2 linked regions of the Ovis aries genome follow. Each later gene encodes a partner of the first gene's protein in a complex. Links are inferred from orthologs where the notes say so. Each region holds a gene or a part of one and is shown in the gene's direction. Other genes may lie near its edges.

Region 1 (3,830 bases):
TAGGAATAAAGAAAATTTGGTGCCTTGTTGACACATACATTATTTTACTCTAGACTGAACATCTGATTTAAAATTACAAGAGTAGGAAATATAAAAAGAATTGCTCAGAGTATGAATCTTGGTCTTTTGGGTAACCTTTATTAAAACTAGTTAGGATTTCCATTTCTATGTATAATGGATTGTACTGATCTCAGTCAAAAAATTAAAACATTTGAATTTAAACTGAAAAGATACTTCATTGTTATTTAAAATGCCCTAGAAACAATGTTCTTTTCTATCAGTTTTTATGTTGTAAATTGTATTAAATAGTATCAACCTTTACTTCCTATTTTTGTGCCATACTGACTGAAAGATTTACTAGTTGTTTTCCTTTTGCACAGCAACTTACAAGGGAGTGTTGAACCTAGAGTTACTAATAAGAAGAAAAATAGATTTTATGTTCCTTAGTCTTGAGTATAGTTTGGGTCACTTTTTCTCGTATCTGTTGAAAATTGAAATATTTATCTTTGTAGGCTCAGCACAGGGTGCGTTTAGTAGGCATATCAGTATTGGCCATGATGGATAACTGAATAAACTTTATGATGTACCTCAGCACTAGACCTTTCAGTGTATTTTTCTTCCAGTGATATTGTGGTATATTATTGGGATGCAAGAAATAAAGATTATCAGAGAGAGAAAGAGAATGAGTAAGATTTGGTTTTCTAACCTAGATGTTTTTGTTTTATTTCTTTTTCAGAAAAATTATTGTCTCTTCTACCTGAGTATGTTGTTCCATATACAATTCACCTTTTGGCGCATGACCCAGATTATGTCAAAGTACAGGATATTGAACAACTTAAAGACGTTAAAGAGTAAGACTTTTTCCATCCCATTTTCATATTTTCTGAAGTTTTTTCCCCTTTCCTGCTGATAATGGAATCTCAGTTATAATTAGTGTTTTAAATTTATTTCATTTCTTAGGAGTTTAAGGTTCTTTACCTTATTTGTTCTCTTTTTTTTCCCTTACCATCTCTTCATATTTCATTTCTTATATAATTCCCAAAACAACTTAGCATAATTACTGTATTGCTGTCCTGTTTCTCTACCAGTCTGGCATTTCTTTTCTATTGAAGTTATCCATTAAAGAGTTTGCTTTGTAATTCTTATCTCTTCCTACTTTCTTCTGAAGCACTGTATAGATTTTTATGTGGAGTGAATTAACACTCTTATTCACATGGTAAGCATATTTCCTTTGCAGTTCCTGTCTTTCTCCGTAAGGAAGAAAGATAATCTAATTTAATAATGGGCCAAGTTGATAACCAGGGAACTGTTCCCATACTTCACTGTTGATTCTCTGACTAAATTAGGTTTATAACAGTTGTAGTTCTTTAAAAGATTCTTGTTGAGATGCCAGAAGAATATACCTGCCAGGGTGTGGGATGGGGGAATATAATGGTATTTAGAGAAGTCTTTGTAAGACTTCCTTAAATAGAGATGAGATCCTATTTCTGTTATAGTAAAGGGTGACCTCTGTGGTTTTGAATAAATTAATTTCTTATGCTTTTAGCTTCTTATTAAAGGAAAATAACTCTTGGTTTCTTGATTCATAGAAATATTTTAAGTTAAGTATTTGTGGTGCTTCAAGAGAATAAAATTAAATTACTGGTAATTTTCTCATGACAAGAGAAAAGGCTTTTGCCCTCTTTTTGCCATAGTTTCTAGTTTTAGAAAATAAGCAATTAGTTTTCCCAAATGAATTCTGTGTTAGTATGATTATACTAAGGAAAACTTTTTGCCATTCCTCTTTCTTAGAACACTTTTTTTTTTAATGATAAAATATTCCTTGAAACTTACTAAATAAATATTTGGGGCTGTATTTATAAATGGTCTAGTACAGCCCTGAGTGATCTCCTTTCTCTCAGAGAAAAGAAACTGTAACCTATGCCTGCGGTCTCAGAGGTTACTTTTTTCCCTTCCAGAATGATGCCTTGTTTCACATTTCCCTTTTCTCCCATTTTCTCCTCTGTACGATCACTCTGTCCCATTCTGTATGCATAATACAGAGACAAAGGACTTTCATTTTTTTCTTGCATAGAATTTAATATAATTACCCTGAAACTGAGGTACTTAAACTTGTTTTTTCCCTTAAGTACATAAAGTTGTCAGCCCTGACTTTTCCCTCAATTTATTGATGAAGACTCTCACGGTTGTTTGCGTTTCCTAAAGACTGCAGTCAGAACCACAGTCAATCTTAGCACATGAGAGTCTCCACTTTATGACCCAGTTACTGCTTCAGGCAGCCCTCCATCCCTGCCACAGCTCAGGATTAAGATCATTGCTTTATTTCTACCATTTCTGTTTCTTTTTAACTTTTCTGTCTACCTAGGAAAATTAGTGAGACTTTGAGAAAGGATGTTATGAACTCATACCTACCTTGCTGATACGTTGTAATATGTATGTGACATACTTTTTTTCTCTATTGATTTTTAGCTGTTTCTTTTTAATTTTTTCTGCTCTTGGAGTTCATTATATTTAGAATTATATCTGTATTTAATAGTGAATTTTTTTCTTGGTATTTTTTAGGTGTCTTTGGTTTGTTCTGGAAATACTAATGGCTAAAAATGAAAATAATAGTCATGCGTTTATCAGAAAGATGGTAGAAAATATTAAACAAACAAAAGATGCCCAAGGACCAGATGATGCAAAAATGAATGAAGTATGTAATTCTTTGTAAATAGTTATGATTCTGTATTGACTTTAAGCATTTGAGCATAGGGTATAAGACTTCTGTAGACAGCATCAGTCTTTTCTACTAGTAGTAAATAGTAGTATTCGTGTTAATATAGAATCAGTAGAGAATGGTAGTAATGCTGTTACTAGTAAACTAATTACAGTAATAGAATAAGTATATTAACTTACACTGTTGTCCTGAAAACTACGTACTAAATGCATGTTCTGGAATTACTCCTAATTCACAGATTCTAGTTTGCCAACTTAAGTACCTGATTTTTTCTTTTTGTTTAATACCCATTGCAGAAACTGTATACTGTGTGTGATGTTGCCATGAATATCATCATGTCAAAAAGCACCACATATAGTTTGGAATCTCCTAAAGACCCAGTACTGCCAGCGCGTTTTTTCACCCAGCCTGACAAGGTAGTTATTTTAGGATTTATTTGTGTAAGTTGAAATAAAATGTATTGTCACCACTAGGTTGTGGGAAGATCAGGAAGAGTCAGTGTCAAGAGTTGACCCACTACTTATGTCATGGGGAAAGGTCGCCATGAATCTTAACCATGTTCAAGATCAGAATATGGGCCAAGCTGGAGGACACAGATAGGTTCAGAAATGAGTTAAAATGATATAGAATTTTTATTGTTTTCTGAGTTTTATGTTAGTCTTAAGAGCACTGGCAAAAATGTGATCAAAGCTGGTAAATTGCCGAGTTAATGGCCATTGATTCAAAACGGGAAGGAGAATGCTGATACAGTCTGAAATTATAAGCCCTTGAAATTTTAACTGGTGTGAAAGAATCAGAGAACTGACATTGGAGCATGCTTAATACCTGGGAAGTATTACAGGGATCTTCCCAAACCACTCTCAGAAAACTCAAGTGTAGTATTAATCTAAAAAAGGTATTTTTAAGAATCTCTTGGAGGTTTATAGTCTACCTAAGTGAGAGGAGAACAGTCATTACCCTTTTTTTTTTTTTTTTTAAGCAGAATACCAGTTAATATCTTAACCCCAGTGTATAGAGATTGGAACAGGCCTTGTAGGTTCACCTAAAAAGGGACTGTCTGCATTTAGGCATTCACTTTTTTGTGATTAAGATAAAAAGAGTATATATATGT
Region 2 (2,759 bases), on another chromosome or scaffold:
AGTCTTCTCTGTGGCCTTTCTGTTCTTGCTTTTCTCAACTCTCCTTTCCTGAAATCCTGCATACCACCACCATAGCTAACTTCCTTAAGAGCACATCTGATCATGTTAACCCTCCAACCCGCCAGTCTTTCTTGACTCACTGTCATTTAGGAAATGATAGCTTTGTTTACTGCTATAAGACTCCAAACTTAACTGCTTCTCCAGTATTTTATTTTACTGAAGCATAGTTGATCTAGTATTAGAGTCTGTCACACCCCTTGGTTGCGTTTCTAAATTTCTGAAGTAGGCCATGCCGCTTCACACCTTTTCTTACCTCCTGTACACTACCATTTATTGCACACTTTTAAAGTAAATGCTCTGACTCTCCTTCCCATGCCTTGGCTACTTACTGTGTTGTACTCGTAATTTGTTGATAGAAAAGGATTTGATTTGGGTTGTTGAGAAGCTTTCACTTGAAACCTAGGATCTAATTCTTTACTCTGAATGAGAGAGGCACCCTTTTTTGTTGAGCCATCTTCATAGCCAGCATCCAGTCTTCCCACCACCGTGCTACCCTGCCCCTCTCTGTGCAGTTGGTTAGGGTGCATTTAAACCCAGCTTTGCATTACCTCTGCAGCTAGCTGTTGCCCTCACGATGTGCCACTCAATATAGCCTCAGTGTGTGTTCAAAATACAGCATTGAAAGATGGCAAAATCCCTCAGGATTGGAGCTGCAAGCTTTTACTGAGTAGCTGTAAAAGTGGGAGAGAGGGGATTGGTTGCAAATTTCCTAAGAGGATAATATGTACTCTTCCATGTCTTCATCAACAAATACGAAATCAAAAGCATCCCTCTTCCCGTCTTTTTTTTCTTTTTGTATGTGCTTTTTATTATAGGTGAGCCTCCTTAGAAGAGCTTTTCCTTTTATTCTTTATGAATCTTTAAAGCATTTTAAATACGTATTGAAATAAAACAACATTTTAAGCAGGCCATGTGTTTTTCTTACCATAAACTGGTTTATATACAGTTTGGCTGCTTCTTGCTAATAACGGAGGGAAACATCCTAATCTTCTGTCCTGACATTGCGTACATTTTTTTTCTATAGATGATACTAGATTTCCTTTGGAAAGATACAGTTAATTCCTAGCCTACATGAAGAATTTTCCTTGATCTTTTTCTTTACATTCCTTATCAGCTTTATGGATACTTTCTCAGTCTGCATTTCCTTGCTATTCTTATCCCTGCTCGTTCTGCCCCACCCCCTACAGTACATTTTGTTATTTCAGGCATTTTTCTGTGCATTTACAAAAGTAAATATGCACATAAATGTTTCTTTGTAGTCTTTGGCAGCTTTATCTTTTTCCTTTCTTTCTGAGGATGGGATAGGGTGGGGTAGAGAATGGACTCACAGGTCACAAAAGTTAGAGTGTGGAAAAGGAAATTGCATATTAACCAGGGAGTTTAAGGACCTTGTATAAGTTTGAAACAGGATGTGTGCCAAAACCAACTACACAGTGCAAGGTTCAGACTCCTGTGTTCTGCCACCTGACCAGTGCTCCTTTGGTTTGTTTCCTTAGATCAATGTGACCACTGTGCGGGAGTATCTGCCAGAAGGGGACTTTTCAATAATGACAGAGATGCTCAAAAAATTCCTGAGCTTCATGAATCTTACCGTAAGTAACTTGTATTCTGTGGTTTTACATACGACACACTATGACAGTAGAAATGCAGGACTTCCCTGGCAGGCCAGAGGTGAAGACGGCACCTTCAGTGTAGGGTGTGCAAGTTCAGTCCCTGGTCAGGGAACTAAGAGCCCACATGATTTGCAACCAGAAAACCAAAGCATAAATACTGTAATTAAAAGAAAAATTCAATAAATACTTTTTAAGAAATGACAGTAGAAATACAAGTATTATGGCCATCATGAACAGAAGCAAAAAAATGATTTTCCTTTAATAATTGCATGGTTTCTTTAAGGTAACTGAATTATTAGGGCCAAATACATTGATACTGTATTATGAAAGCCATAGTTTGATCTCACCTTGTTTTGAGTCATAATGTTTGGTTTAATAAAGCTAAATAGTTTAAGCTCTGATGCAGTGCTTTGGAGAATTAACTGTGACTTCCCCTCCACTCCCACCGCCAACCCACCCACCCCCCCCCCCCCCCGCCCCCGACCTCCACCCCTCCCCTTTCCAGTGTGCTGTTGGAACTACGGGCCAGAAGTCCATCTCTAGAGTGATTGAGTACTTGGAACACTGCTAGCTGCTTGCCCTTTGCTTCAGGTGCTCGGCAATGCTGGAGCTATACTTAGACAAAGAAAAGTCACGGAAGAAGTCCTTGAAGATACACCAAGAACATTCATCAGTATCATTCATATTTGGATTTTTAAGGCCACCTGATTTCTTCTTCGTCATGCATTCTGCATTTGCTAAATGACAGTTACTACATCAATCTGCAACTATCAAAAATGAGGGAAAAGGTTCAGGCTGTTAACAGTTCCACGCAGTATTTAAACACACTTTGGCAGAATTTATACTCTCCCCTTGTTCTCTTGCTTTGTTCTGGGCAAGCTCTAGGGGGAAACTTGTGCTGCTGTTAGTGCAACTGCTGTGTATGTTGAGCCACTGTTGTCATGCCAGCCAGGTGCAAAGGCAGCGTAGCTACTGAGGCATTGAATGTTCTGAGGACATTCTAGACGACAGCTTAGTTCCTTTTTCAGGCTCATTTGCTTTTGCTTTTTTGTTGAATGATTCCAATCGTAAATAAAGCTTTTAATA

The links.
Region 2: the proteins of PDS5B (region 1) and WAPL are in contact, whole or in part, in a crystal structure (PDB 5HDT), measured with the Homo sapiens proteins. The link is inferred for Ovis aries from reciprocal best matches to the Homo sapiens genes PDS5B and WAPL. Residues at the interface, in NP_055847.1 of Homo sapiens: Gln47, Phe88, Ala92, Pro93, Ala95, Trp137, Val138, Lys139, Ser140, Asn142, Ile143, Phe145, Glu146, Glu187, Gly188, Asp189; in NP_055860.1 of Homo sapiens: Lys7, Thr8, Tyr9, Ser10, Arg11.

The regions. Positions count from the first base shown.
Region 1 is NC_056063.1:28,630,093-28,633,922, reverse strand, and holds part of PDS5B (sister chromatid cohesion protein PDS5 homolog B), read left to right. Parts: intron 1-736; coding exon 737-851; intron 852-2,562; coding exon 2,563-2,695; intron 2,696-3,015; coding exon 3,016-3,135; intron 3,136-3,830. UniProt on the Homo sapiens protein: Regulator of sister chromatid cohesion in mitosis which may stabilize cohesin complex association with chromatin. May couple sister chromatid cohesion during mitosis to DNA replication.
Region 2 is NC_056078.1:40,189,882-40,192,640, reverse strand, and holds part of WAPL (wings apart-like protein homolog), read left to right. Parts: intron 1-1,556; coding exon 1,557-1,856; 3' UTR 1,857-2,178; coding exon of another isoform or gene 2,179-2,244; 3' UTR 2,245-2,759. UniProt on the Homo sapiens protein: Regulator of sister chromatid cohesion in mitosis which negatively regulates cohesin association with chromatin. Involved in both sister chromatid cohesion during interphase and sister-chromatid resolution during early stages of mitosis.